3 linked regions of the Lonchura striata genome follow. The protein of the gene in region 2 purifies or fractionates together with the protein of the main gene of each other region. This does not show direct contact. Links are inferred from orthologs where the notes say so. Each region holds a gene or a part of one and is shown on either strand. Other genes may lie near its edges. The genes, in order: E2F6, L3MBTL2 and MGA.

Region 1 (10,818 bases), on a different chromosome or scaffold from region 2:
CTGTGTTACTGTGAAATGTGTGAAACAACTCAGCTGGTGAGAAAATACAACAAAAAACCCCCCAACACCCAGAAACTAACTTAAATTTATTTCCACATTTATTAACACCAGTTGAAATGCACCAGTTGCTAGTACATTGTTCCAATTTTCTATAACTCACTTTTCCTATGTATTATTTTTAATATAGCAGTGGGAAGGTATACTTAGAACAGATCTGAAGAGGAAAAACTATAAAGAATGTATTGCTTCACATCTGTTATTTCAGTCAGTGTTCAGCATCTTTCCTACTCTGTTGATATTAAATACAATTTCTAATTTGTCTACAGCATTGTACTCACATTGTAGAAAGGCACATACTGCAAGATTAATTTTCACACATGACACATAGCAACTTACTTTTCACAAGCTGTGTGTCTTTGTGCACATTCAGGTTGATCATTGATGCCTGAGGACATAAAAAGGTAAAAAAACAACTATCATAAAATGCTGTGTACAGGGGGAGCTTCTTCAGAAGAAATCATCAAATCTTCTTTAAACGTTACAGCCATCACAGCTCTGACAACTCAACAGCTATTACTGTGAAGATGTGCCACTAGATAGAAGGAATACATGTGCCTTAATTCCTGCCAGAATTTTCAGCCCTTAAATCTCAGTAGAACTCACTCTGTTTTCAAAAACAGGAAACACCATTGAACTTGCTGATGCTCAGGCAAGCTGCAACCTCTCTTGCTTCTTTTATTTCAATTCATGGCCATTTCCTTTCAATCACCCATCATGTACAACTGTGAAATATCTGGTAACCTCTTAAAGTTCTTCACTTGCTTGCAAGCATGGAATGAAACTTGTCAGGGGAAGTTTAGGTTAGATATTAGGAAAATGGTTCTTCACCCAGAGGGTGGTTGGGTACTGGAACAAACTCCCCAAGGAAGCAGTCACAGCAACAAGACTGCCGGAGTTCAAGAAGCTCTTGGACAATGCTCTCAGGAACATGGTGTGACTTTTGGGATTGCCCTGTGCTGGCGTAGGAGTTGATGATGTTTATGGGTCCTTTCCAACTCAGGCGATGCTATGATTTTACTGAAGGGTGGCTGTGGCTTAACAAGTTCTCTCAGGAGTTTATTAACAGCCTTCCTGTACTAGTGGACCTAAATCAGGAACAGCATTCCAAGGGCAATCTAATATACTTTCAAATAAAGAAAAAGAATAATTTTCCTCAATTTACTGTTCTCCTGCTAAGACAGCCTCATATGCCTTAATGTCAGGACACAATGCAGGTGCACACTTAGCCCACTGTCCATGAAGAACCCCAGGTCCTCTCAATAGGGTGGTCCCCAGCCTGTACCACTGCAGGGTAAAGGCAAGGCTTTATCCTGATTTTCAACTTCCCAGGTTCATGAGGCGTTAGATGACTCCTTCCTCCAGCCTATAAACCTCACATCCTCCACCTAACAACAGGACAGACCTTAGGATAGACCCTGCCAGGCCACCAAAGCTGCTCTCACTCCCCTCCACAAGTGGTTAGGGAAGAGATGTAACAAGAAGTTTGTGAGTTGAGCTAAGGACCAGAAGAGATCACTCCCCAAATACCATTATGGGCAAAACAGACTTAACTTGAGAATATTATATTTATTACCAGTAAAATCAGAGAGGAATAATGAGAAATAAAACACATCTTAAGAAAACACCTTCCCCCCACCCCTCCCACCTTCCCAAGCTCTACCTCCTCCACACCAGCAGTGCAGGGAGATGGGAATGGGGGTTATGTCAGTTCATCAAATGTTGTTCCTGTGGCTGCTCAGGGTGGAGAGTCCTTCCTCTACTTCAGTGTGGAGTTCCCTCCCACAGAAGAAACCCTCCATTAACTTCTCCAGTATGAGTCCATCCCACAGAAACAGTTCACCAACTCTTTCAGTGTCCATCACTTTTCCTCAGGGTGCAGTCCTTCAGGCACAGCCTGCTCCAGTGTGGGTCAAGGGTCATGAGTCCTACCAGAAAGCCTGCTCCAGCATGGGCTCCACGGGTCCCTGCTCCAGCATGAGCTTCCCACAAGTTCACAGCCTCCTTTCAGGCATCCACCTGTTCAGCCTGGGTCTCATCCATGGGCTGCAGGTGGATCTCTGCATCCCCATGGTCCTCCATGGGCTGCTGCTGCTTCACCATGGGCTGCACCACAGGCTGCAGGGAGTCTCTGCAGAGCAGGCACCTGGAGCACCTCCTCCTCCTCTTTCTCCACTCACCTTGGTGTCTGCAGAGTTGTTCCTCTCACATATTCTCACTCCACTCTTCTCTGGCTGTAATTACAATTGTATAGTAACTTTTTTCCCTCTTCTTAAATATGTAATCACTACTATTATCTCTGATTAACTCCGCCTTGGCCAGTGTTAGATCAATCTGGAGCTGCCTGGCATTAGCTCTGCAGGACATGGGGGAAATTTCTGGCAGCTTCTCACAGAAGCCACCCTGCAGGCCTCACCTACTATCAAAACCTGACCACAAAAACCCAATTCAAGGTATACAAGCCCAAGGTTTCCTTTGTCTGGGGTCCCTGTTCCAGCTGTTGTTAAGTTATTTTAAGAATCCACATGTCTAATACTCTGCTATGGGAAACCTGGGGTCAATTTGGTGAAGAGAGCTTGTCTGTGCAAGTGTGGGGGTGCTGCTGCAAAGGGGCCTCGGTCCCAGCTCAGGTGGTGTGAGAGTGACTGACAAAAGTGGCTCTTGCATGGTCAGACAGGGAAATTTCTTCAATATTGTGACCTTTGACATTCCTTGCTAGCTTCAACACTACTATTTTGGCTTTCCAAGCATCACATCTGCATGTCCAAGCACTTCTTATTCTTGTTCTTTAGTCCTTCTTCTGTCCTGTCCTTTTTGCCATAAGTGTCACGATGAAACGTTTCTCCTTACTAATCTCCCATCTCTTCAGTTCCTCCAGCTTCCAAAGCTGCCTCCCCAAAAATCTCAACCTACCTCTTGCCAGAATAAGCTGGAGCCTTGAAGACTGAGTAAGCTGGAATCCAGGTTCTGCACCTTACTACTAGCCTTCCTTAGTAGTAGGCTTGAAGGTCTTGAATATCCCACTGTTAAGAAAACTTCCCAGTCTGACCATTCATAAGACTCATGCTGGACCTGAAGCCCCTTCATGGTGGACTGCCTCAGTGTGCTACTGGGAGGCCCTCTTGACTCCCTACACACCACACTCATGCAGTCAGGCCATGTTTCCTCACTGGTTCAACCCCAGGTTTCCCACTGCAGAGTCTCGGATGTCTCTCCATAAAGCAATTTATTCAAGGTGCAGCAACACAGAAGCAGCCCAAGCTGGTACCTCCAAAGAGGGACACACAGCAAAGGAACCTCTAAGGTTTTATACCCTCATAGTCTACTCAGATAAATCTTGCTCTTCACTCCGAGTCCTCTGCTCCTGCTGTGTCTCCCCATGTGTCTCTCTTTGCCCACCTTAGCAGTGAGACCATCTCTGTTCCCTTTTGTTATCCCAAGGGTTGGGCAGTGCCTACACTAGATGTAATTCACACCCACTATTCCATGGCCATCACAGGCAAGGCTGTTAATGATTACCATATCGACCTCTCGGTTTATAAGAAGCTGATCAAGGAAATTATCACCCATCATACACTCATCTAAGTATCTACATGAAGAAGCTGTGCCAAACATAATTTGCTTCTTACAATCATCACTTCAATTAAAACTAAAAACTTACATTAATACTTACATCACCTAAAACCTTACATTAATTTTTTCATGGCTTTAATACTATCAAGTAACCTTTAGTCCAACTGACAAGATTAATTTTAAAAAAATAATACATTTAAAACATTTCACAAAATTAAAAGTATGCACCATCCAGATTAACTAAAACCATGTAACATTTTAAAAAAAAACGTTTTATAAAATATGCTTTTTTGCTAACTACTTCATAGCATTGCTAAAGGTAATAGGGGCAGCTGCACGTAAGATGATCGCAGACATTAAGAGGAGAAAACACATTGTAGTCCCCTTTTCTCATAATTAGTTACAACATATTTAGCTCGATTAAGAGGCTGTAGGTAACACAGGCAAGAAAAACCATCCTTTTGCATTCTAGCGCCGTTCCCGGGAAGCCCATCCCAACGTCACGCGGGAGGGAAGCACCCAGCGCTCCATTCGGGTACCACGCTGCCGGGCCCGCCGCATCTTTCCCGCCCAGAGACGTAGGACGGGCTCCGGCCGCCTCCTCCAAGCCCCGCGGCAGGAGCGCAGCTGCGGCGCCGTCCCGCCCTCTCCCCCGCCACGGGCAGCGCCTCCCGCCATGTACCTCACTCACACGCAGCATGTCCGCCTGCAGCGCCTTCAGGCGCTCCCATTTGTCGGGGCTGGCCATGTCCGCCCGGCCCCTCCTCCCCGCCCCGCGGCGAGGCGCTGGAGAAGGGAGAGCGCACTGACGGCCTCACACCGAAGCTCCGAAGCGCGGCCGGGCGCGGGGCGCCGCGGGGCTGCTCCCACCCTCATCGCTGCCCGTCATGGCCGCGGCTCCCGCCCGAGGCGGCCGCTGGGGCGGGAACGGGCGGGACCCGCGCACGCGCCCTCCCCTCTGCGCCGCCGCCTTCTCCCTCCGTTACCCATCGGCCCCCGCGGCGCCTTCCCGCCCGGCCCGGCCCCGCCCCGCCTCAGCGAGCGCCGCGCTCCCCTCCTCCCCTCCTCCCCACCTCCCCACCTCCCCTCCTCTCCTCCTCCCCACCTCCCCTCCTCTCCTCCTCCCCACCTCTCCTCCTCCCCACCTCCTCTCCCGTCAGCCTGCCGGGCCGGCGGAGGAAACGGCCCCCTCGCCGCTGTCCTCGCCTCTGCGACAGCGGCGCTGGGCGCTGCAGCAGCCAGCGTGGGCTAAGGGAGGAATCAGAGAATATGCCGAGTTCGAAGGGACCCACACGGATCGTCGAGTCCTGCTCCTGGCTCTGCGCAGGACACTTCCAGAGTCACACCGTGTGCCTGAGAGTGCTGTCCAGGTGTTTCTTGAGCTTTGGCAGGCTGGTGCTGTGACCACTTCCCTGAGGAGCTTGTTCCAGTGCCCAACCACTGCTTCTCTGGGTAAAGAACCATTTTCTAATACCCAACCTGAACCTCCCATTCCAGGTCCTGTCCCTGGTCACCAAAGAGAAGTGTCGGCCCCTCCTGTTCCCCTCCAAGGAAGCTGAAAGTGCAGTGAGGCCTCCCCTCGGGCACTCCTCACAGGGCTTCCCCTCGAGGAGAGGGTTCTCTTTCCTTCAGGTAACAGCAAGAGCTGGGAGAGAGCATTCTGGCTGAGCATTGCCATGCAAGTGTGAGTGAGAGTAATTAGTATTGACTCCCTGCCAAATTACCTGGTTTTGTCAATACTTGCTAGTGCAAGGCAGCCAGAGCTATGTGTGTCACTCATAGGGGAGACATGGCTAGAATGCCTGTGTCAGGTATAAGTTAATTACAAGAGGTTTGTGAGTGAATGGCAAGGTATGTTCCTCTAGGGCCAGACAGGAGCCATCAAATGTGGCATGTCCACACTAATCCTGTACATTTACCTTGCAGCAACATCCTTCCCCAAGTCCCAGTTCCATTGCTCCTGCCCTTTCCTCCACACTTCTGGTAATGTTTTACAAGCACTGACACCTTGTCATTTGCCAGCCTCAGCAGTAGTCTCAAAATTGCCAGTTGCATAGATAACTTCTGTTTGTCAAGACAAAAACATTTCTTTAAAACACAGATCCTTGTTAGGTATCCCATTTGTTGCTTAATTGCTCTTTATGGCAATTAACTCTCTTCTACAGCAGGTAAGTCTGTCATGGAGTTCTTTTGCTTTAAGAATTATGAACTATTTTGCTTCTCCCACCCACATTTCAGGTGAAATTTCTAGTCCTGATTTCATCAGACATGTAAAACTGCTAGTCTGGTATGAAGAATTCAAAGCCATGAAGAACTTTATTCATACTCTAATATGTCAGACCAAACAAGTCAACTAATACTATATTATCTTGAATAAATACTGAATTAATTTTCATTTACTATGTATTTCATAGCCCTTCCAGTTGGACGTTCCTTTAGAGTAGCTTATGGTATCACCAGTGATATATCAGATGCCTAGATAGAGAATGGAGTTTTCTTCATAGCAATAAATTTTCAGCCAAGTATTTCCATGGTAATAATTGACCTTGTAGAGAAGTGTAGAACTGAGGTGAGTTGTTTTCATGCTCTAATGAATCAACAAAAATAAAAGAGGGAAAAATATATTGCAGCTCCTCAAAGACAAGATGTTTGTATTTCAGGAGATTGGGAGTTGTGCATTTAAAGATGTCATGCAAATGCTGGTTGTCAGTATTGCAAGGCAAGGTTAGACTGCTGCAGGTGGAGGTTTTCCTATTATGGAAGGGACACGTGATTACACTAAAATGTAAAAATGCTCATTTCTGTATGTGCAACATAACCTAATTGGTAATTTCTATGTGGTAATATGTGTAGTTCCATGAGGAATGAATATTTCTACTCTTTTTTGTATTCTGGAAGATATATTTTATCATTGCAATTACAGATTGTATAGACCCACTGTGATAAAGCAAGTTTTTTTCACCTGGAACAGCAAAATGATTTGGACTAGATGTTCAGGGCCATGTTAGTTTGAGGTGATGTAAGGAAAGTGCCAAGCAGTATTAAAGTCATTGAATAGGAGTTGGTGGCTGTTGGCTGGACAGACGTTAGGAGGATGTTAACAACTCATAATTTGAGGATTAGGATACATGAATTCCTGTATTAACCCATGTGGAAAACATTGCATCAATGTTTAACTATGCTGTTGTTCTAGCCAGTCATAAGATCAAATCCTGTTGTTCCCGTGCTTCTCTGTCCTTGCCTGCTGATGTTATCTCATGGAGTGAAGAAGAGCCTCACTTGGATTCAGATTCGGGAAGTGTTTTCTATATTTATATGAAAATTAAAAAGACTTAATATTCTTTTAAGTAAAAATTAGATGTTGAAGTAGTTTGCTTGACTGTCAGGAGTTTTTGCTGTGGCAGTCTGCTGATAAAGAGTTTTATTCTGGTATGTTACTGTTTACATTTTACAAAACTGATAATTAAACATAACACATTCTTTATTAGAATAATCATGAAGATGAAAATGTAAATTATACCCCATTTACTGTCATCTTAATACATACTAAAATGACTGTGCATTCTTTTAACACCTCCAGATATTAATTGTACAAAACAGGATACTTAAAAGTTATTTGCTTATTTATCTGAAATTGATTTCTTTATCATTACATTGATTCTTAAAGTGCCACCAGGGGGCAATAATTCATTTCCTAAATCTGATCTTTTACCATCAAAACCTGCCAGAATAGTGGATTCACTAATATTTTTAGATGACTGTATGTGAAGGGCAAAACATAAGTTTCTTAAAAATGCTTCTTAAATTACTTGTAAATACATGGTAAATACTTTGCCATGCACTACTTAGGCAAGGCATGTAGGTTTTATTCTGAGCAGCTGAAATTTGACTGCTTTGTAAAAGTTTTTACTGGTAAACTTCATGCAGCACTGAAATGGTGCATGGTTTGTATCTAACGCAGTATGAGCTTTTTGGTGGTTTTTATATTGCCATTGTAATATTCAAGCTTTGTTTTAATCATATTATTTTCCCACTCTTTTACTTTTTGCTGCATTAATATACTATTAATATTTATTAGCCTATATATGTGATTCTGAAATTGGAAATACATCCATTAAAGAGTACCTTATACCCTTATATGATTTTTTTCTTTCTTTATGTGTACAGTGGTTACAGCATTCTGCTCTTAAAGCCAAGGCTGCCTTGTGTAAAACTCTACAGCTCTGTATTAAATGAAATCTTTCCTTTCAAGACAATAATCTTGTAACTGGATCTTACATTAGGTGCACATGTATTGCTGAAAAGATGAGCCAGAGGAAATATATTCCTGAAAAAGTACAAAATCATGAAAGACAGCAATCGCTGTAAATACCTGTTTGAACTACATGGGGCTATAGAGTTATCCATTTTTTTGTATATTAGTATGTCAGTCTGTAGAAGCTTCCAGGCCTCCCTAAGGTCCTCACCACTGCATAACTATTAGGCATAAAGGTATACATTTTTATGCTGTAAAATGCAATGACTTAAATCTGTTTCTGGCAATAGTAGAATTTTTCTTGATGTGCTCAGCTTAATCTGCCTGAAAAAAAATCTTCCTGTATACATGGAAAATAGTCATCCTTTAGTCTAAGAAGGCAGATCTCCTATTTCTTCACTTTGTTGTGTATGAGGAAGATTGAGTCAGTTAATCAGATCAGAGAAGAACAGTGCTAAATGGCATTCATTTTTGTCATGTCCTGAATGACACTTAAAAGTCATGGATGTGGTATCTTGTTGGAGACATTGGAGTTAGTTCATGATATAAACTGAAGCTCCTGCTTCTTCTACCTCTAATTTAGTAAAGAAATTATATAGATGGAAAAAGAACCCTTAAGGTGACATTAGGGTTGTGTAAATAGCAAGTACTTACTGTATATGAACACTGGTGTCTTACTGAAAAAGTTCAGTGAATATTGTGTTCTTAGGAAGGTTTGGAAATTTGGCAGTAAGCCATCTGCCATTGTCTGACACAGCCTGGGGATTTCTAGGCAAAGGTCTTTACAGAATCTGCTGGAAGTTTTCATCCATGGTAAGGAATTTATCAACAGAAGAAGATTCCTGTTGCAAAAGGTCATTATTATATTTTTTGTTTGTATCTTTTCTGTGGCAGAGGAGGTGCAGAATTCACTGATGGATTTATTTTGTAAACTTTAAATGTATGGAAAAGTTGAAGTATGTCCTCATAAGGTGGTTGTCATTATATCCTGAGTTTAAAAGTATCCTTGAAGTCAGTGTGTTTTTTGTTGTGGGATTTTTTTTTTGTTCGTTTTGTTTAGGTTTTTAAATTTTGTTTTTTGCGTTTTTTTCTGGGTTTTTTGTTTGTTTGATTTGTTTTTTTTTTCTTAGGGTGAGTTTTTAAAAATTTATTTTATTATTTTTCTTACAATGTGAAAAAGTGTTATACAGTACCTACTTGAAATTAGAGTAGCTTGCTGTTATGTGTGCAGTGAGATTTATGATTCAGCACGTTCACTGATAGTGGGATTGTCAAGATGCAGAAAAGTAATTCAAGCCTAACACAAAGTACGTTGGCCACTTCCATCCTTTCCTCCAGTTTCTCACTCTAAAGCAGTGAGAACTTGAAATGGATGAGAAATGTTGGGGCACCTGTTTGTGCTGAGGGAAGGTGTAGGAGAAAGAGATTCTGGGAAAGTGGGTTACCTGCCACTGGGAGACGAGCTGTATACAGATGCTGTAAAAAACACTGGAAACCACTGGAGAAACTCAGGTACTTGTTTCCATTTTTGAGGCATCTGCATTCCTCCAGGCTCTGCTAGTCCAGCCCCAGTCTTCCATGAGTTTCCATGTCTTTCCATCAGGGAGTAACACCCCTTGTGAACAGGTCCCAGGCCTCCAGCGAGATGAGATCCCAGCACCAGAGGATTAAAGCTAAGCAGACTTTTCTGCTTTTCTTCTCATCCTTCCCTTCCTCTCACATTTCCAGAACAAGCAAAATGGAAGGTAGCTGAATGGTAATACCTTTGTTTTACCTTTGAGGAATGGCAGTTTTGCCTACAATACTGAGGAACCTTAGAGATTAATTTAGGTTGGAAAAGACCTCTAACATCATCAAGTCCAACTATTAACTCAGTACTACCAAGTCCACCACTAAACCATGTCCCTGTGTGCCCCATTGGCACATCTTCTAAATACCTCCAGGAATGGTGACTTAACCACTTCCCTGGGCAGCCTCTTCCAAAGCTTGATAACCTTTTGGTGAAGAAGTTTCCCCTAATAACCAATCTAAACTTCCTCTGGTGCTGCTTGAGTCTGTTTCCTCTCATCCTATCTCTTATTACTTGGAAAAAGAGACCAACACTTCCCTCATTACAACCTCCTTACAGATGGTTGTAGAGAGTAATAAGGTCTCCTTGAGCTTCCTTCACTTTAAGTTGGTTCTTATCAGAAGGCAAATTCTAATGAATAATAATAAATTATTAATTGAAAATGACAATTTATATAATTTCAGGAAAGGAAAAATAATCAGTTTTTACAGCAGTGAATTCCATGATTTTAGCTTGTTAGGAAAAATGAAGTAATTCTGTTTCAAATATGTTCCCCAATCATGTAATTTGGTACTCTGTAATTCCTGTATTATGGGAAACTGAAATAATTTATTTTCAGTGCACTTTTTCTATATTATTCTCAACTAAATATCTCAATAGATATTTATCAGCTCAGTTACCAGTTTTTCAATTTCAAGATTCCTAACCTATGTAATCTGTTGTGTGTGGAAGTTATTTTAAATCTCTAGTCACTCTTGTATGTTGCTTTTCTGTTCTGCTGTAGCCTTTTCAAATGTGTCATTTGAAAGGAATAACACTTATCTGAAATTGGGGGAAAAAAACGGAGAAAAGGAAATTTTTCCCATTGTTCTCCAACATAAGAATAATGAAGCTGTGGATCAGATTGTCCAGAAATGTACAGTCTTCATCCTTGGTAGTTCAGCAGTTTTGGATTTTGTGTAAACAACCTCTGGTCCTGCTGATACATTACTTCCAAATGATTGGTCCATTCTAAAGCTTCCTTTGCTGACCATCAGAAAGAAGTTCTGACCTTCAGAAATTGTGCTGACAAATGTGACATCTCTGGACTGTTCTAGAAAAGCATGTCAATGATTTTATAGAGATATTTTTAGCATCAAAATAG
Region 2 (10,643 bases):
AGCCGATCTTCAAAGGACCTGTTTTGCATTTTGAAATGAGAACTATTTGTTTGGATATGTGATATTAAAAATCCTATTTCACTTGGAGTACATTGTGCGCCTTTTGGCACTGATGTGTGAGCATGAGGTAAGCTTGTGTGGATGTCCTGCAGGCAGGTGCTGCACCGGGATGGTGTATGGGTACCCAGTCACCCTGGGTCACATCTGGTGACCTGCTGGGCGCAGAGGCATTCCCAAACAGAAGTGCTGTCGCCATGGAGCGCACGGGCAGTGAGTCCAGCTGTGTGCTGCCCACAGCTCTGCTCACACGGAGTTAATTCGGTCATGTCGTGTGTTGTGCTCAAACTGGTTGTGGTGGATGTGGCTGGTTCGTTGAGGGCTTTCCAAAATCCAGCCTTATGGTGTGCGTGTGTATACAGTACTAGCTGCCTAGGGAATGACTCTCCACCAGGGTATTATGCACCTGGAAGACCCAGATGGGACCACGGATGTGACCAGAGCACAACTGTGTAATGCCAGCTGTGTTGGGAAGATCAGTGTATCTGCAGATCCCAGACAGGTAACACATGCAAGCTGACCCAGGAAACTGCTCGTGGAAGACAATGGAGGAGGTAAGTGCCAAATAAAAGTAGTGGTGTATTGCAATGTGAATGGATGTGGGAGTAAAATGCTTGGGTTTTGGATATAAACATAATTAGGACAATGAATCTTGTATTTAAAAAGGGGTTGGTGGCAAGCCTTCAGCAAGATGGTGGAAAGTTTGTGGTAGGCTTAAGGAAAGCAGCCCTGGGCTTTGGTGTTTGCCCTTGGCTAAACCTCATACTGCTCACCCCAGCATGGTGCAAACCAGCTCTGCACCAAGCCCACAATTACCCTGGTGCATTGGGAGGGACTGCTCTTGGCCTAAAGGAGAGCAGTAAGCAAAAAAAGCCCCATTTATTGAAAGCCAGGACAGCAGCCTGGGATTGTTTAGATTTGTGCTCTAGAAGCTTTCCTCTTCCTTCCCTGCCACTAAGCAAAGCCTAGTTTTGCTTTCAGCCTTGGGGGGGACTTCTCAGGATGGAGCATAAGTAAAATTCCTTCTGACCACATAGAGGCTAGTAAAGTGAAAAGTTGCCCAGCCTTCTGACATACATGGTTTTAGTGCAAACAGTTTTCATTTGTGCCACTGAGTTAGCACACAAACCATGGTTAGAATTTGTCCTGACCTGCAGGACAAATCAAAACATCTGAAGTGGGGAAGTCCTGGAACCTTGCAGAGCACAGTACACATCTTCCAACTTCAAATGCCAACATAGAGACTTGCTTGAAAGATGCCATGATGCATTCTATGTGACAGCACAGCTACTCTGTCCCTCTTTGAAGGTGCTGACTGAGCCAAGTTCAGTTTTTGAGGTGATGTGGATGATCAAGAGTCTAAAATTTGCATAGGGTTTTTTTTCCTGACATCCCTCTACTTCTGCTTTCTCTGGTTCTTCTAGAGAACCAGATCCCACCATTTGGAGCACTACTATGGCTGTTTCTAGTAGTGGGAGGATTTCAGGGAGAGAACAAAATTAGGGTGTCATCTGTATCTCTTGCCATTCAGTTGTGTCCAAGTTAGGTTGTTTCACTCCTATTTATTAGACTCTTGGACTACCAAAAAGAATTCACACCCAAAGTTCTAGCAATCTAGTCAGATGTTGATTGTCCAGTTACAACGATGCTAATGGTTGTACTCAAATAATGTGTAGTTCAGTGATGTAAACTTTCTAATGTTTGACCTTCCAATATCCCAGCTCCCTCAGCCTCTCTCCATCTGACGGAGGCTCTAATCTCATCACTGTGCTGCCCATTTGCTGGATTCACTATACCCATGTCTCTCTTGTACTGGGTAGCCCAAACTATTTGGCACAAAACCGAAGATGATTTTGGTAGCAGTCACCTGGTCATTAGACAACTGTTGTAACAGCAAAACGAGCTATGGCAGCTCCTGGCAGGCCAAGACAAGCCCAGGCAAAGCCTGACAAAGTCTCACATAAAGCAGAGCTGGTGGCCTCTTACCAGTAGTGGCAGCACCATGACAAGGCTGAGGTGGATGATGTGACAGTGACAGCCATTCCAGCTTTTGTTTCATTTTTCCAGTATATGATACACAATTTCCCTGCAAGAAACTCCACCTCCTGTTTCCAAGATGGTCTTTTTGCTGCTTCCAGTTTCAGCCAAACTCAATGACTCCAGCCTATCCTCTCTGGACAATCTGGAACAGATCCTGTAGTGAAAGACAGCACCAATCAGAAGAGTCTGCTCCTAATGACCAATTCTGCCTAAGTATGTGATGAGGCTTACTACCCTAAAAATGAGCTTTTATTTGAAGACAGCCAGAGGGTGCTCTGTCTGGGGAATATTTATTTTTACTGCCTTCCTACAATACTGGGGTATCTGCCAGTTTGCCCAAGGAGCCATTTTTTCCCTCAGCTTGTCAAAGCAGATTTTGTGCCATAGATCCCAGCCTGAGACACAGCATAACCTGGCCCCTGAAAGTGTAAAAGCACAACACGTTCCATCCTCAGGTGTTGCAGCAGCATCTGTGTTTGCATCATGGCTGGAGAGCTACTCAGCTGCTGTCAGCCTTGCAGGTGAAGTTGGCACAGCTCAGACTGTGGTTTTTTCCCCAGGTGTGCTGGCTGGTGGCAGGCTCTAGTGTATCTTGGGAGCACAGAGTTATATGGGAGGCAACCACAAACACATGTTTTTTCTTCTCCTCATGTCCCTGCAGTCCCCAGGGCAATAGCAGGAACTGAAAGGTCATTACCAGAAGAAAGCTCTTTGCCAATCCTGATCCTCTGGCTGAAAGTGCAGAGCTTCTGCTGCCCTGAAAAGCAAAAAGTCTTTCATTTTATTTTCCTCTTCACTTCTGCTTTTCATTGTCTGTACTGTCCCACACCAGTGTGGCACTGAAATGAGCTCCCAGTACAATGTCGCCCCATGTCTTCCTTAAAAAGCTTGTAGAGGGATCAAGAGGCAGCACAGCTCAGCTCTCAAAAGCCAGATTTCTTGGGGGTCTGGGATGGGATAAGCGCTTCAAACCAAGATAGATCTCCTAGGCAGTTAACTCTTCCCTCTCCTTGTCAGGATAGCCTTGGAACTGGCTGTAGTTGCTTTCTGGGATTTTGTTTTGGTTTTTTGTTTCCTTATTTTTTTGTTTGAGTTTTTTTAATTTGGACAAAAATTATTTACTGTTTCATTAGTATTTGTATGTAGAGTTGTGTTGACATATATTGACAGATTTAATGTGATAGTAAAATAGCAAGGAAGGACAGGCTAGTTTAGTATTTGTGCCCTTAACTGGGTTGCCTGTTGGGTCTGGGGTTGGATTATTTGGTCACTATACAAATTACTATGTCAATCCTATAGTGTAACCTTGTGACAAGTGGCTGCAAATGCAGAAGAACATTACTGTAGCATTTTGATCTGACGAGGGTTTTCTGCAAGCTCCTCGGCCCACAAGAGAGATCTAGAAAACAGCAACTGCTCAAATCTCCCACCCGCAAGTAGGCTGTTGTCATACATAGTGCAGGACATGCCTCTCCATTTCAGTTACCATGGTAAAATTAGTCTGCCAAAGGTTAAGCAGAATACGTTTCCTTATATTATTCCTTCTGTTTGCTTTTTGGTTTTCCCAGCTCACTACCCTATTTTCCTTTTTCAAAGACAGTACTATGAATGTATGGCCAAAGCTTACGTGTCTATGAATACTTTTTCTTCAAAATGGTTCCCTTCCCAGTGCTCATGACAAAAATTAAACCCTTCAAAGTATTTTGGTTTTTCACAGTGTCAGCTAGGAGGAGCCTACACACAAGAATTTGGAAGGCCTGTAGTGGAATGGCTGGCACTTAGTGTTGGAAGTGAAAAAAAGCCCCTGGAGCACAGGATTCTCATGAGCTCTTTGCAATAACAGAGGAGAAAACTGAAAAAGGAGGCTCTGGAGAAGTAGCAGATGAATTTATGAAGACTGGGGGTCTGAAACATGAGCTCTGCATCCCAGAGCATGGGTGAGAGGACAGTCGCAGTAGACAAGCACAAAGAGCCAGTGAGACAAGGCTCCTGAAAGAAGTTGTGGTAATGAGGGGCAGAGTATATGCTGAAGTACAAAAGCTGCACACCTTGGATCTGAGCGCCTGAGGAAGCAGCCTGGCTCCCTGTCCATTGCAGCCAGGGCTCCTTCTGTCATTGCACCTGACAGCAGCCCTTTGATACTGATCTTTCTAAAATTTTTATTGCAGATTATGTTAAAACACAGACCAAGCCCGGAACAGCAGTAGGGAAGGAGATGGGAAAAGTGAAGTGTAATCTAAGAGTTGGGTTTTAGTTACCTGATATTGCCAGTGCTGTTCTCTCTCTAAAGAAAGGAGTTAGTTTTGATTGTTGTTACATAACAGAGTTTTTATTATTGAAAAGAATATAAGTATTCCTCAATCAAATTGAACTTGATTCACATTAAAATGAATTTATTTAAATACTGTTATTTATTCAAAAGGATTGTTTAGAACTGCAATGAAAAATGAAGAGCTGTGGTGTGGGGTTTCCCTTTTAAAGCTTGTTCTGTGTGAACACAGGACTCATTTCTACTGAAGCCTTCAAGAAGCCTTGAGCCAGCCTGAGTGTGACCTAAGGGTGTGACCTGCTTGTTCCACTCTGGGAAGGGCGCAGGTGGTGCACACCAGTTATAGCTCACAACGTGTTCCATGAAAGATTATTGCAGTAGAAAGACTTAATGAGCCTTTAATTTTGTACTGTGTCTTTTCTGGAAACAGCTTTGCTGTCTGCAATGCCATGCAATGTCTAGCAGTATTTACAAGTGAATAACCGTCATTATGATTTATTTCATTATTAACTATACTATTTTACAGCAATTTTCTATTTTTAACATTGGTGGAGGACTGCTTGGAAAACCTGAATGTGGAGGATCCCTGGTGCTAAGGAAATTTGCTGATTGATTTGCAGAGTGGCTTTGCCAGCTCCCTGACATTTCCCTCTGTAAATTAGGCTGTGACCACTATCCCAGATTCTCAGCGTGTTTCATATGGATAGTGACATCTCTTTGTGTTTATATCTACAGGCTGTAGCCCCATGTTAGAGCTTTTGGATTGTCTGGAAGAGCCTTTGGAATGAACCTTTTCCATGCTGCTTTACTCCCACCTGCAGCTAAGACTGTGCAGTTGTGCTTCATACATTATTTGTTCAGCCACTCACTACAAAGTCCATACACACTAGGAATGCTCAATACAGCCCTTTTTTTTTTTTTTTTTTTTTTTTTTTTTTTTTTTTTTTCCTCCTACAACGTCAACACAGTGACAATGATAACAAAATAAGAGGGTGGAAAATGGAAACTGCCTCCAGGGGCTTACCTTTACATAAGTTTCTTGACAGGCTGATAGAGCTGGGGTTGTTCAGCCTGGAGAAGAAAAGGCTCTGGAGAGACCTCGCTGCAGCCTTAAAGTACCTAGAGGGGGGTAATAAAAAAGAGGAAGATGGACTTTTTATATGAGCAGATAATGACAGAACAAGGACTAGTGGCTTTAAACTGAAGGAGGGCAGATTGAGATTAGATACAGGAAGAAATTCTTTACTGTGAGGGTGGTGAGACACTGGCACAGGCTGCACAGAGAAACTATGGATGTCCCATCCCTGGGAGTGCTCAAGGCCAGGTTGGATTGGGCTCTGGGTAACCTGTTCTAGTGAAAAATGACCCTGCCCTCCGCAGGGGGGTCGAATTGGATGATCTCTAGGGTACGGTCCTATCCAAGCCATTCTGGGACTGAGTGGGCTAATACCGAACCACAAGCAAGAACGGAGCCGGGGAGACGGCAGCAGAGCCCAGCCCGTTCCTGGGTGGGACCGCCGCGAGGCGCCATAGCTGCGGGAAAAGAACTACAGCTCCCGTCATGACCCGCGGGCAGAGCGGCGGGAACAAACTCCCCGCTGATTTGCTGTGCTTTCCGCTGTTCTCGCCAATCGGACGCGCAGCTCAGGGGGGACGCTCTCCAGGCGCGTGAGGCGGGCTGGCGTGGCGGGGCCATGGAGCGGGACCGGAGGGAGGTGAGCGGGACGCGGCGGGGGCTCCTCTGGGGCCCCGGCTGGGTTGCTCCTGGGGACGGCGGCGGGTCCTTCTGATCCCGACGCGATGGGCCCCCGCGTCCCCCTCAGCTTGCCGAGGAGGCTCCGGGTGATGCTGCCTTTGCTTGGCAGCCCTGGGGACTTGTAACAATATCCGCAAGTTTCACTCGCCTGTTGTGGAAGAGTAACGATGCAATGGTGCTCACGTCCTACGAGCTGGTGTAAAATGCACCCACACAGGGACTAGAAGGCGATGAAAATATTTGTTTTTTTAGAGTTCAGGCCTTTCAAGACATCAGGAATGCTATCTGAGGGCCTGGATCCGTAGGACAGGAACTCTTTGTTCAGGGAATAACCTGGGAACCTTGGATCTGTGTTGTGTGAAAGCCAGGGAGGATGCGGGGAGACAGCAGTGAGTGAAGTCTGATTTTCCTGACCACGTGTCTATAATGACAGCTAGAGCCAGGGGTCAGAGGGAATTTAGCACTGGAAGGTGATAGGCTTTCTGCTGATCTTTTGTTGTTGCCCACTTGGAGGAACAATGGTATCCTCCTGCCTCATGTAGCTGTTTGAATCTGCCTTTCTGATCCATCACTTCCTGTGCTGATGCTGTTTTTGCTGCTCTTTCATGAGTTGCTAACATATTTTCCTAGTTTCTTTTATGCTTATTTGGAGCCTGGTTCAAGATTCTTCTAGTCTGAGACACACTGTTTTTCTGTGCTCTTTCTTCAGTCTTTGCCTTGCAGCTCTCCTGCTGTAACAGCAACTGCGAAGAGCCAGTGAAGATGTTTAGCTGTGGAGGCATCTGGGTTTAGACAAAAACCTATACAAACGTTCTGCTATCCTGCTGGTGTAGTTTCTGAACCGAGGTCAGCTGTGGACTCTGTAGTTTTCAGAGGACATAAACTGTCTCCAGGACTGAGTTGGTCCTGCTGACTTCCAGGCTGTGCTGGTCTTGTGAGCTGTGGTGGCAGGAACGTGCAGCCTGTGCTCCATTGTGGAAGTCTGTGCTGGCTTTATTGTGATGGTCTCTGTGCTGCTATGCTGTGCAACTATGTTGGGAGGAACATTGCCGGGAAGGACGCAGTCTCATCTGTCTTCATCAGCAAGGCAGTGCTTTGCCCTGTATTTTCTATGTTCCTCAAGATTCTTTTTATCTAGCAACAGCACTTTTCTCTTGGGAAGCAGAATGCAGCATGTTGAATACCAGTAAAGGGATCTGTTTGGGGGAAGGCAGTTCAGAGTCCCGCCTTTGGGGTTGTTATGTGGATTCCTTGCCTGCCTTGAGGCCACTCCCTGGCCCAAGAGGGCCTCCTCCAGCAGCAAAGGCAGGTTTATTGTGCAGTGGGGTGTAAAATGTTGATTTTAAAGTAAATTGGCTCTTTTTCTAGATGGTGTCTGCCTTTGGCCACAAAACTTCATCTTTGGAGCGGGTGGAGGAGGAAGGTGATGCTGATGAGGAGGATGATGAATTGGACATCTTTGGGGGTTATGACAGCCTCACGTGCTACAACAGCAGCATGGGCAGTGACAGCAGCTCCTGTCTGGAGGAATCTAGCGATGATGAGGTGGCAGACCGGGAAGCTGGAGAGCTTTCAACATCTCCGATGCACCAGCCATCCACAGGCCGGCTCACAGAAGACAATGGCTCCGAGCCAGGTACTGCCTGTGCTGCCTGAAGTATGTTCAGGGGCAGTGAAAGGTGTGTGGGGATGCTTTGGGAGCAACTTTGGATTCAGACTGCATTTATTGGGCTATGTGGGGGATCTGCACTGTATAATCATGGTTAGCTGGTCTCAGCTCTGTCACCGTGGTGCATTGACTCTGCAAAATCCTCACGTTTTTGGCCTTCCTTCTTGCAGCTGTGTGCGAAATGTGTGGGATTGTGGGCACCAGGGAGGCTTTCTTCTCCAAGACTAAACGTTTCTGCAGCGTCTCCTGCTCCAGAAGCTACTCCTCAAATTCCAAAAAGGCCAGCATCCTGGCCAGACTGCAGGTACGTTAAAACTGTTCCAGCTGGCTCTCTGGCTCCATCATGGTTGTAGGCTTATGTCATGCTGGGGAACTTCAACCACTCCTATACCTACAGAAAGTAGCATGGCAGGCTGTAGGTAATCCAGGAGACTCCTGAAACGTATGTGGGATAATTTCTTAAGCCAAGGAATAGACAGCTGTAGCAGAGAGAATGCAACAGTAGACCTGCTGGTCAAGACTAGAGGCAGTGGCTCTAGTTGCAGTGGTCATGCATTGGTGGAATTTCTAATCTTGAGGAATATAGGTCAGCTAAGGAGTAAAGTCATGCTCTTGAACTTTAGGAAGGCATACTTCCAGCTCTTCAGAGAGAATCTATAATTCTGTGAGATTTCCTGGGGATGGAGCAGGATCTGCCTTTATGTAGGGTTGCTCTTTAATTGAATATCAGACTGACAGTCCCAGTGGCTTATTCTTCCTTCCTGAAGTCTCCAGAGAAGGCATGACAGCTTAAAGGTGGTGTTCCCTAAGAGCTGAGAAAGGACACACATGTATTTTACCTGCTGTTTCTTGTTCCTGTGAGTGTTAATAAATACTGTAGTAGACTGAAAATTGTCCCAAGGAAGAGATGTATGCCCAGTTCCAGAGAGTGGCTTAGTCTCCTGTGCCATTAATGTTTCTAATCATTCTTCTTTTATAGGGGAAGCCACCAACGAAGAAAGCTAAAGTTCTGCACAAGGCATCCTGGTCAGCTAAGATCGGGGCCTTCCTCCATTCACAGGGCACAGGACAGCTGGCAGATGGGACACTGACAGGTCAGGATGGTGAGTGTAAATGAGGTGTGAGGAGGTGCAGCTTCTGAAGTCAAAGAATGGGGAGACTTTGAGGGATATAAACTTTGAAGTCCTCCTTCTCCTCTCTGGTACACTTCTTTGTGCGATGTGTGTGGATTGCTCTGACACAAGCTGGCAGAACACAGGGCATGTCTTTTTTCCTCTTCCTGCCCATCCACTATTGTAGCCTCATCCTCACTCCTCGTATGACTTAACCTGGAGTGTTAGCTCTGTGGTCCCAGTTCCATGAGGTACTGACTTCTGCTGGCAAAGCTGACTTAAAGGTGTCCTGTTTCTCCCAGCCATTTGCTGCCCCACTCCTCATGGTTGCCCCGAGTCACCCACTGATCGCTTTGAGCAAAAACCAGTCACTGCAGCTGAAGGAGTAGTAACTTACTGTGTTAGGGAAAACGGGACATGGCAGCAGCAGGGAGTGATCCCTGAGCAGTCTGCTGCTGGAGCGGAGCTGTAGCCTGCAGCCAGGATGACTGCGGGATTAATCTCTCAATTTAGTATCTGATTTTCCCAGCAACCTCTGGGAAAGCAAGTGCTGCTGATAGGACCCTGCAGTGTTGCAGCTGAGATGCAAAATGTGAAGTGGTTTAACCCTAAAAGAATGCACTCTCCTTGGAGTGCTTTAGCCCTGGGCTGGACTTGACCGCTTTTATTGCCCTTTCTGCTCCTCCAAAAGCAAGTGACAGTAAATATTCATTAGTAAAATATTTTGCCTCATGTGGTGGTTAGTGACCTTGCACTCACATAGGGTCTAGTTTCCCACCAGAGAAAATGCAGTGGAATGCATAATCCCTGTGTGTTGTGTCCTAGTGCCTGAAGGCTGCAGGCTGCAGTCCAGAGGTAACTGATCTCTGTGGCTGTTGTCATCTTATCTGATTTTCTGTTCTCATGTCTGCTTGTAGCACTCGTCCTGGGCTTTGACTGGGGAAAGTACCTGCAGGAGCACGGCTACAAGGCAGCTCCTGTCAGTTGTTTCAAACACGTGAGTTCTACTTTGCTGTGTATGCCAGGGCACATAGGGCACATATGCATGGGGCCCCCCTGTGCTCCTGCGACAGGTGGTGAATAGAGGCCCAACAGGGCATTATTGAGATCAGGTGATGCAAGAAAAGAAGTTGGGGTTTGTTGCAGATGAGAATGGGAGTCTCACAAAGGGTCCAGGAGTTTTGGGGGAAGGAAGCAGAGGGGGACGTGGTAGAAACCCTGGTGCTAGTGATGCGTATGATTTTTAGCTTTTTATGTTTTTCATGTATTTGTAGCTTTGTAGATTGCTAAAGCATGGCTGTAGCTTCTAGTATTTTTCCCGGTTTTCTTCCCTACATGTAGGAACAATAAGCTAATCTTATAAACACATTCAGAAATATTATAGTCTTATTCCAAGAACACAACCAACTACAAGGACATTGTTTTCCAACCAGAATCTGAACCAGGCATAACAAAAATGGGGCAAAAGAAACCTCTGGACTGTTTCCAGTGGGTCAGAACCCCAGGAATTATTACCTAACCAACTAACATTTTAACTTGACAGTAAATGCTAAGTATACTAATTGACTAATCTTATAAAAACTGTAGAATTACTGTACCACGTGTAATTTTTGCCGTATTGTGTATCTGAAAGCTTTTAAGTAAAGGTTTGCTTTTATATTGACTCTAACATTGTTGGGAAGAGCTATTATATTTTCCAGGCATCAGTAGTAATAGCTCAGTGCTAACTGGAAACAGAAT
Region 3 (10,133 bases), on a different chromosome or scaffold from region 2:
AGACTAGTAATTTTTGCTTGCACTGACATTCAGCATGCAAAACCTGATGAGTTTTCTGGATAAAGATTTGGTGAGCTTCTCTATGAAGCAGGCTTGTGAGAGATGCGGAAACATCTTCAAGTGCCAGCTCTCAGACCATACAGAGTTCGTTGCTTGTTTGTGCCCTAAGCTGCTTGTGCAGATTTTTGATGTGGTGTGTTGTTTATCAGCAGCATCTATGAAGAAACTGCATATTTGATAATTGCCTTGTCTGTGCCTTTTTAGTAGCTTCTCTGGAAACATTTCAGTGAAATATGTAACATGAAAACACTGACTTGAAGTGGGCACCTTAGCATGTCCTTGTTTTAGGTAAGGATGCTGCATTCATGGTGATTGTCCTGACAGTCCCTTCTCACACTGATTGGGGGAGTTTTGACTGAGGCAATGCTGTGAGATGGGCTGTGAGAATGCATCAACTGCTCACAGGCTACCCAAGGGCTGCCACTTCCCAGACTGGTGAGGAGCTGGACTGAGGAAACCATCCCTGCTCAAATTGGTACAGCACAAGCAGCAGGCTGCTAATGCTAATGGCTTTGATCTGTGAACATGCTCTGACTGCACTGCTCACTGATGCAGCCGTAGCTTTTTGAGCAAGTTTCCTTGCCTCAGGCCAGACTCTGAGAGCTGGTGCTCTGCTGCTGGGTGTCTGAGCTGGTCTCTGCATTGCATGCCTGCCTCAGGAGCTTTATTTTTTCCTTTGCATCAGCCTCAGAGGTAGGATGTGGGTAGTAAACCCACAAAAAGTGCTTAGGGCAGTGAGTTGCTTTGAATGGCAGAATTGTCCACCCTGCTGCTTAGTCCTGCCAGGGCACTACTGCTGGGGCTGGGAGGTGCCCTCACGCTCAAATGGGGCAGCTGATACCTTTAGCTCCCCTCAGACATCCTTGAGGAGGGCAAAAATTTTGCCACTCAAACACTGTTGGGGAGGACAAAATTTTGCCAATGCATAGGAGCTTCTAGATGGTCTGCAATGGTCTAAGAATGGTTTCCAACCCACCCAGAAAACCTGTGACCCCACTGTTCTGCCTCTGAGCAGCACCCCAGCGCCTGATGCCTGCCTCATCCCTTTCCTCTACTCTTCCCTCTCCCTTTTCCTTCCTCCTTCTTACCCACCGGGTAGGCCTCCAGCTTTGGGGAAGTTGAAGGCCTTGACCCTAGTATGCCAGTGGCAGTCTGGGCTGGGGGGGCAGAGTTTGCCTCTTGCAGGAGGGACGAGTGTGCCTGCTTCATGTCTCCTTTCACCGGGAGAAGCTGCAGGGCACGGGTAGAGTCTGTCTGTTAGATCTGTAATATCGTTTGGGGCTCCCAAAACTGCTTTAAATGAGGATGCTGCAGCATGAAAACTACTGGCTTCACATATCTGAGAAATCACCGCCATTTTCAGTTTAAAAGCAAATAATTCTAGGAGCCAGGAGAGGCTCGGTGCTGTCGGGAAGTTCAGCCAGGCGCGCTGGCATCGGGTGCCTCCGCGCCGCAGCTGCTTTCGCACCGCCGCTGGCAGACGTGTGCGAGCGGTTTGCAGCCGGAGCTTCCTGCCAGGCTCCAGGACAGCTCCGTGCTCACGTGGATGCCGAGCGACCGGCGCCGGGGCTCCCGCGGCGCGTGTACGGCCGTGGAAGAGCCCTGGGCCGGGGGACGGAGGCGCTCGCTGGCCGCGCCCGCCCGCGGGCCCCTGGGGCGCAGGGCGGCCGCCGCCCCCATCGCACGCCGCGCCCCCCAAGCGCTTCGGGGCAGGTTTGTGCCCCGGCCCCCGCCCCATCTACGAGCGGGACTCGGGTCGGTAGCGCTGCGATAGCGATCTGACCCGGGAGCTGCTCCGGCAGCCTCCTGCCTCGGGCTTGCCTGGGGGAATGTTTAACCCCTCGCGTGCGGTGTCACCGCGAGGAAGGGGCAGCCCAGGGTCTGGGGATGGTGGGTTTGAACCATTCTGGCAGGAAAGGCTTTGTTAGGCTGCGGTCCCTTCAACACGGGAAAAGGAAGGACAAAAGACTAGGCTCGGCTAGGCTTGTGGCAGCAGAAGAGCCAAAACTGCGGCACACAAAGCAGTTGGGAAAGACAGCGAGGCTGGAAAAGCTCCTCCGGGGTGGTCGGGGCTGCTCCCCTCGGCGAGCGATAGCCTTTGGCCAGATCCCAAAGGTACCTTGTGCCCTTTAGGAACTCGCCTACAGCAAGAAAGCCAAATCCCAGCGTCTCGCCGCTGATGCATTCCCAAGGGGTTTCTGCGTTCAATAAACACCGTGCCGGGAGTAAACTGCAGAGACGCGCCAGCAGCTCCTCTCCTGTGGGTGCTGCCGCAGGTCCCCCAGCTCTCTGTGGAATGACTGAAGTGAGGAGCTAAAGTGCAGCCTTGTTTCACCTCTGCTTTCTTTGGGCTGGGGAAGGCAACATCTTGGGAATTCGGAGGTCGCAATTGTCCCTGGTCCTCGTGGAGGGAAGCTGGGACGATCCCTGAGAAGGAGAGGACTTGGCCGCCTTGCAGTCTTGTGTAAAAGAGAGAGCAGAAGCCCAGCCTCAGAAGCACAGGTTCCTTTGAGTGTCCAGAGACAGGAAGACTAAAGAGGGAAGGCTGCAAGGGGGAGCAGTCTGGACCTCGATGAGGTCTTGGGGGGCTTTATCACATTGTGAAACAAAAACAGCAATGAAGTTAGGGGCACGTCTTCTGCTTTGCCTGCCATTTTTCTTTGTCGAATTATTAAAAAAAGCTGGACAGACTTTCCTCCCAACGTTACCTCTCCAGTCCCAGCTGCTGATTCCTGGCCTCTGGCTTTGGAAAGAAGAACCTTTCTTGCTGTACAATTGCACTGTAATGTGCAGCTCTGGTGACCAGTATAAGGGGAAGGTTCGGGTTTAAATTGTGACAAGGAGGCACAATAGCAGCAGCTCCAATGTAACCAAGGGAAAACCTCAGAAAGCAACCATCATCAATGAACCCTTTCCATGAAGGTCATTATTTGGAATACAAAATCCATGCTGCAAAGCTAGTAAATGTCAGCTTCACAATTATCTCAGTGATCTTTATCTGGTTCCCATGTGTGTAATGCTGATTTCATGAAAAATTCACACATTATTTTCTTCATATGATCCTGACTCGCTCAGTGCCCAGGAAGTTCCATCCTTAATCTGACATTTTGCAGGCTTTGAGTGATTGATTAAAGCATTTACATAACATACTTCAAACATGAGGGTTGTGGTGGTTGTTAAATGAAATTATTGTCATTTAAATGTAATTATTTTTACATTTTGATTAATTATAAATGGATATTATTAAAAGGAGAAATTTGTTTATAGGGGTTGGATTTCTACAGTCATCATGAATAAACAGAGCAGGTAATGAGTTTGGCAATAAAATGCCAGCCTTAGGCATAGACCAGATTTAGCACCACCCTTTCTCTTTGTATCACACTTCCTTCCTCCCACAAGCTCAGCCCACTCAAAACCTGTGTAATTTATTCTTATAAAAGGATATGCCTGTTTCTGCTCAGTTTTTAAAAGCCCTTATTTCCTAAATATGCTCCTCGGTGGGAACAGTCCTATTGGATTTCCAGGCCCATTTTATAATTCTTAATAGGATGGGTGGGGATGGAAGAGCTGAAAAAGTTGGGTGTTGATTTCAAGTGAAGAGGCCCACAGTGAACGATGTGTGAACAGGAGAGTGGAGAGAAATGGGATAGTGAGTGGGCCTCTGGGCAAACAGATGATGTGGAAGAGCAGTGTGGTCCTCGGGCAGACAGGGCCCTGGAAGAACAGGTACTGACTGCCCTTTTTCACTTCCCCCTTTAAAAGGTTTTATTCAGAAGGGAAAGGAGGGGGAGAGGAGGATAATTCTTTTTCTTGCTTATTTAAGGTTCCTCAATCTCTATTGATCTTTACTTTCCCAATAATTAACTTTCAAAAAAAAAAAAATAGCCAACAAACAAGTTTTTTTCTGCAAAACCTCACTTGTAATTTGGGCACCTCTGTTTCAAATGATGTGTACATTTTTAAAGTTAGATTTTCTCAATCTAACTTGCATAGGAACTTCTTCAACACAACAGTTGTGAGATCTACCTCTTCCCAATAAAAGATATTTTTTGCACTTAGAGACCAAAACAACAAATTTTCTTTTTTTTTTTTTTAATCTGTTACACGAAGTTGGCTCATTGCTGTAATATTCACAAACACCATCAGGTTTCCTTCAAAACTACTGTAGTCATAATGTCTTTTCCTCCTGAGAGATTATTGAAAACTTACTTCCCTTCCATGTGTTATCTTTTATTTTTCCAACTCCAATATCTTTGATTGCCTTGGCATTACTTCTTTATCCTTTAACTGTAATGATGTTGCAAACATATAAATATCAAACAGTACATTTTATTTGGGCGGCGTTTCCTCTGTTTGGCCTATTAACTAAAACAGATCCCGCAGCTGAGAATTGGGCATTTTATCCCTTATAGCAGCAGAATTTCAAAGAAGCTATCCCTAAATCAGCCCAGAAATTCCAAAAAGACATGTCCTAAGTCCACCAGTGCTTTCTCCATTGACACCCAAACCCTTCTGAACTTCAGCTGTAAGACTGTAAAAGCCCAACAAAAGTTTATGTACCAGTTAATGTATCTGCAACCTTTGTATACAGATTCCTCAAATATAATGTAAGTTGTGAGGGAAGATATCTTTGATCTTCTCAGTGATCTGAGAACCAACCACTCAATTTGGTATCAATTCAATGCAAAGTTCAAGTTTGGAGAAATATGAATCTCTGCCTAATGAGACACTTCCCCTTTTACATCCCTCATGGACTCCCCAGCCATACTGCCACACATTCTCAGTAATGTCACAATGCCTGGGGAATGCAGATTGCTGTGATGACTGAGCACCTTTCCAGGCCAAGACCTCCAACACAGAAATTTCAGCCCAGGGCTACATTATGGTGCTGTTTGTCACCAGCTTTTCTTTAAATTTTAAATTGGTTTCCATTACATGTGACCTGCCTTTACCTTAGACAACTTGAAATTATTTTTCAAGACTGCACGGGAGGCCTGGCCGTACTCATTGATGCAGCTACTGCCCTCGGTTACAACTGCCACACAGCTCAGCCAACCTGCACACGTCCATGTTGCCCAGAGCTCACGGGGATTTCTGTATTTTTTTTTCCCATCAACATTTGTTCCATTATTTAACTGTACACCAAATAAAGGCTTTCTGGATAAGTCTCCAGAATCACCTTTGAGTACGTCCCTATGCTGACAGTTTTTATTTAACTCTTTCGGCTCACACGTAGCTTCCCGGTGACTCGGGGATGGGTGTGAGTGCAGTTGCGTGCAGCTCCACAAACACTCCCGTCCCCGGGAGCCCGGCCGGGTCCGAGAGCCTTGTGCGAGCGGCAATAGCACCCACAGCGTGGGAATCCTTCTGCACTCCAGCATCGCTCCTTCGGCGTTCGCTCGTAGCTCCAGCTACCGCCAGAACATCGCACCCCGCAGCACACGAGCCCCTCTTCCGTGATTCACGAATGCGGAAGGCGGAGGAAAGACGAGGAGCCGCGGGAAGGCGCCGCAGGCGGCCGAAGGCGGTGCGGTGCGGCGGCAGGAGCGCGCCCACGGGGCCGGCGCGGCCACGGGAGCGCGCTCGGGGCGCGGCCGTCCCTCGGGAAGGGCGCGCGCGGGGCGCGGCCGCCGGCGGCGCTACCGCGCGGCCCCACGCGCGAGCAGCGTGTTATCCCTCGCGCACGGCCGGGGGAGGGGCGGGAAGGGCGTGGCCGGCGGCGCCCTGGGAGCGGAACTGCGTCGACGGGCGGATCCGGCCAATCGGCGGCGCGCCGCTGGCGGGGCGTCGCGAGGCAGCTGCACCGCACGGCCGCCGCCGGACCCCGTTGCCCCCCGCGCTCCGGCACCGGCCTCGCGGGGGGGCGGGAGACAAGCCGGGGGAAGGGCCCGGGAACGTGCGTGGCCCACGTGATGGACCGCGGCGGCCAATGAGGGCGGCAGGAGGTCGCGCGTGGCGGGCGAGGGCCGCGTGGGCCGGGGCGTTGCCGGGCGGCGCGCGGACTCAGGTAAGAGCCGGCCGCCCCCCCCTCCCTCGGAAGTTTTTCACTCGAGGTGGCGCGAGGCGTGCGCGCGTCACGTGAGCGCGGCGGCCGCCCAATCACCCGCACGCGCGCCGCCTGCCCGCGCGCTGCCGCCGCGCCCGCGTTTGAGGCGAGGGGGTCGCGCGCGGGACGGGAGCGGGACCGGCGGCCGCTCGCACCCCTGGCGCGCCCCCGCGCCGCTCTGTTCAGGGGTGCGAGCGGGCGGGACCCGGGGGCGCGGGCAATGGGTAGCGGCCGGCGGTCACCTGACCGGGGGGATTGTTTAAAGGGACCGAGCGGCATCCGGGCTCTCCAGCCGGGAAGGGTCGGGTGAGGCCCGGCCCCGGGCAGCTGCCGCCGCTCCCTAAGCCATCGCGCTCCGAGGGATCGGCCCCCGGTGGGGGCGTGGCCGGCGCCACCTATGAGACGGGGCTGGAGCGCCGAGAGAGCCTTTCCCGGGAAGCGGCCCCGGTGCCCCCTGGGTGGCAGAGGCCGGCGGGCTGGGCGGGGCCGGAGCGGGGCCCCCCGGCCGGGGGCGGGGCGGCCCGCGGGCGGCGCGCGTGCGCCCCGGCAGGGCGCGGGGGCGGGCGCGGGGGCGCGCGGCCCTCGGTGCTGCCCTGCTTGGAACCGCTCGCACTGAGCTGGTGAGTTTAGAAGGGAGTCGAAGCGCGAAGGCGAGCTCAGTGAGGAGCGGCTAGGCACGAGGGCCAGCGGCTGTTTCAGCAGCCCGGGGAGATGAGTGGCTTCCCAGTATGTGGTTGGAGCATCTTGCCTGACTCATTGTCAAATCTTGCACAACAGTCACGCTGCCTTGCTCCCGACGTGAACTGTGTGAAGGCATGGGCCGTGTGTAATCGCACTTGATGAGATGGGCTACAGCTCCGAAGATTTGAAGTTGCTGCAGACTGAAAACCGAGGGCAGTTTAAAGAAGAGGGGCAGGCTGAAGCTTTGGTCTTGTTGCTTGCAGCTGTTCTGCCCGATGCAGCTGCAGCACCCTTTCAGTGCCCTCGGGCACAGTGCCTTGTGAATCTGTACAGATAACTGGAAAGGGAAATTTATTCTGCTTCAAAAGTGTTCCCATAGGTGAGCATTTTTGTACAGCTTTTTATAGGGAGAAAAAACCCATATTTCTTAGGTCTGGTGGAGATGGGCAGCATTCATTCACTTCCGTATTTCATCTAACAGCAGATGGCTGTTAACCTCACCCATTGCTGGCTCAGTATCGGTTCAGATGCTGTTGTTCCTGCCATGGGAGAAAACGTGCAACTAGAGGAAACCAGTGGTGAATAAACTTGTTTGGTTACCTTCCAGGAAAAAAAAAAAAAAAAAGGAAATTATTTTTGAATGTAGGCTGCTTCTTCATTTATATGCAAATCCACTAGATTGTTTGTGAAGCTCGTGATTGTTTTTAAAAACAACCTTAAGAAATGGGAAGTCCAAGACATTTTCCTTACAAACGCAATGAAATAGGTCTCTGCCTACTGGAGTGAGAAAGAGCTCTTCTTTGTGAGGAGGCTGTTGTCTGTTTGCTGTTTCATAGACAGCAGAGGATCTACAAAAGAACACTCAGTCATGGCATGTGCATAGGGAGCAGTGCCACTAGTTGTGGCACTAGCAGGGCTTTCCTCTTGTCTTTTTCTTCCATAACTAAGGATGTGTTGTGCTGTGTTGGTTTGCTTTTTTTGTTACTCTTTCTTAACACTGGATAACCTTAGAACAAATAATCATGGTGATGGTGGAGCTGCTCTTCTCTTTCCATACAAAGATGGTATGTACTTTCACTGTTGGATTTTGTCTGGTTTTAGTACCTGGGATAAATCCTTTGCTGAGCTGAATAAGGAAGAATGCAGTGAGAATGATATGTGAGAGAAGGATGATGAAGGTGTGTCATAAGAAGAAAGCAACCAGAAGAAAGCTCTTTTGTTTTATTTTTTTTAATCAAGCCCAAAACAGAAAGGCATTAAAGGAATGTGAACAGCATAAAAGAGAGAAAATGAATGGGAACTAGATAAAACCTATCTACAATAAAAATGCAATCTTTGTTCCAGTGACAATGTCAGGAAAAGCCAGTTTGGACAATGACAAGACTGTGACCCAGATACTGTTAAACAAATATTTGTGATGTTGGAATTGTGCTGTTTTGCTAACTCTTGTACAGTACTTTCTGTTAATTTGGTGTGGTCTTATGACCCCAGGGTAAGTCAATAAACAGTAATGAAGAGGGATATAAACCTGGAGCACATCACCAATGATCTGGACTTGAATGAGTGTCACGTTCTTTTTCCCCCTAAAAGGGGAATAAAGGTTCCTTGGCAGCTCTAACTTGCTGAACCACTGGTGACTCTGTAGCAATGAGTATTGCTATAAAATAACTGGATAAGTAGGACAGTCCTGAACTCGGGTGACGGCTTTTTATTTACGTCATTTTTGGTTTTTTCTTCTATGATGTGGACAAGATCCCCAGCTGAAGATTCATGTATGTGATAAATGTTCCTTATGATGGCCATAAAGGGATTGAAATTTATCAAAATGGTGCTATTCCTGCTGATTATGTCTGGTTTCTGCCAGTGTTGCATGGCAAAAAGCATAAAGCATTACTTCATTGTTTTATTTTGTGATTTTTGGTAGTTGAAATAATAGTATGTTAACAAATACAGCATTCATTGAATGTATGAGCAATGGGCATCTCACTCACTGCTGAAATATAGGAAGTAATGTAAAATACATTAACCTAAATATAACATGTTGTATATAGGTAAAAAGAGCATTTATTATTAGTTAACTTTACTTTCCCCCCTGGCCTCTCACCAGTGATTCATTCTTAACAGAAATCACAGAATCATTTTGGTTGGAAAAGACCTCCAAAATCATGGAATACAACCTTTGACCCATCACCGCCTGTCAGCTAGACCATGGCACTGTGTTTGCCACATCCAGTTGGGTGCATTTCCACTTTGCAATCTTCAGTGTTTGGGAAGTGTTTCCCAGAAGTTCAGGTAGCTCTTGAGAGATGCAAAATACTGTATACATTGTATGTTGCAGGATTAATGCTGTTTGAAAAACGACTGACTTTATGGGCAGCTGGAAGTTTGGATTCCATGGCATGGTATGGCTGTTGGAGTGGGGAAGCAGGAGTTTCTCTTTCCTCTGCCTTCCCAGGTATGTGCCTTGTTCCTCCAAAAGCAGCTGCTGCTCTTGCAGGCGTGTAGCTCTCAGTTGTGAAGCACTTTCTGAACTACCACCTATTCATCCTGCAATAGTTGAGACTCTGAGTGTGACATGAATTTGGTTTTAGTGTAAAGCAAGACTCTGGGCTGAAAGCTGACAGTGCACAAGCTGTGTCAGACTTTTTGTGAGCATAAGTGCTTTCTGACTGCAGTTGGAGCATGTGTTTCTTCAGCTTTGCATCAGCAAGAAAGCTAAAAGCATTTTTAAAATGACTGAAAAACTTTTTTCCTGCAACAGTCCATTTCTTTCAATAATTTTTTTTTCTTGATCTCAATTTTTGTCTAGATTCTGCCACCACTTTAATCTTTTGTCTTCTTGGCACTAATCTATATTTCTTTACTAAGGCTAAGAAAATAATTTAAGCTAGTTTCCTATCAAAAATAACATTATGTAAATTTCTGAAAGTAAATTTGGGCTGATTCTCTTGCATAAGAACAGAGATCTGTAGCTGATGGATGCTGAAAATTTTTAGAGACATCCATGTACAGCAAACATTAAGCTCTGGAGACTACTACTGGTCTGGAGAAGGAGTTGGAGGCCAGTGAGGCTGGTTATGGCATAGAAAATGGGACTAGATACCTTCCTAAATGCAAATTAATCCAGAGTTTTGGTTAGATTAACAGAATTCCTTGTGGGTTGCTACTGTTAATCATTCTCCAAAGTAGAAAAACATTGTCTAAAGAAAGAACGTTTTTTGTGTTTTAACTCTTTTAGTCTGCACGTTGCACAACACTTCTGGTTGTGGCATCACTAGGTTTTCAGCTCTTTAAATGCTTGTGGATTTTGTTTTTTTGGTTGGTTTTTGGGTTTTTTTTTTTTTTT

What was found.
Region 1: the proteins of L3MBTL2 (region 2) and E2F6 purify together in Homo sapiens (affinity purification with mass spectrometry; 5 studies listed by BioGRID and IntAct, counting the BioPlex papers as one, with this or other methods). This does not show direct contact. The link is inferred for Lonchura striata from reciprocal best matches to the Homo sapiens genes L3MBTL2 and E2F6.
Region 3: the proteins of L3MBTL2 (region 2) and MGA purify together in Homo sapiens (affinity purification with mass spectrometry; 3 studies listed by BioGRID and IntAct, counting the BioPlex papers as one, with this or other methods). This does not show direct contact. The link is inferred for Lonchura striata from reciprocal best matches to the Homo sapiens genes L3MBTL2 and MGA.

The regions. Positions count from the first base shown.
Region 1 is NC_134605.1:99,935,602-99,946,419, forward strand, and holds the start of E2F6 (transcription factor E2F6), read right to left. Parts: upstream 4,559-10,818; 5' UTR 4,379-4,558; coding exon 4,313-4,378; intron 2,292-4,312; coding exon 2,238-2,291; intron 446-2,237; coding exon 397-445; intron 1-396. UniProt on the Homo sapiens protein: Inhibitor of E2F-dependent transcription. Binds DNA cooperatively with DP proteins through the E2 recognition site, 5'-TTTC[CG]CGC-3'. Has a preference for the 5'-TTTCCCGC-3' E2F recognition site.
Region 2 is NC_134607.1:25,002,202-25,012,844, forward strand, and holds the start of L3MBTL2 (lethal(3)malignant brain tumor-like protein 2), read left to right. Parts: upstream 1-6,004; 5' UTR 6,005-6,060; coding exon 6,061-6,081; intron 6,082-7,490; coding exon 7,491-7,758; intron 7,759-7,961; coding exon 7,962-8,095; intron 8,096-8,770; coding exon 8,771-8,894; intron 8,895-9,820; coding exon 9,821-9,900; intron 9,901-10,643. UniProt on the Homo sapiens protein: Putative Polycomb group (PcG) protein. PcG proteins maintain the transcriptionally repressive state of genes, probably via a modification of chromatin, rendering it heritably changed in its expressibility.
Region 3 is NC_134608.1:37,051,603-37,061,735, reverse strand, and holds the start of MGA (MAX gene-associated protein), read left to right. Parts: upstream 1-5,932; 5' UTR 5,933-6,067; intron 6,068-9,125; exon of another isoform or gene 9,126-9,242; intron 9,243-10,133. UniProt on the Homo sapiens protein: Functions as a dual-specificity transcription factor, regulating the expression of both MAX-network and T-box family target genes. Functions as a repressor or an activator.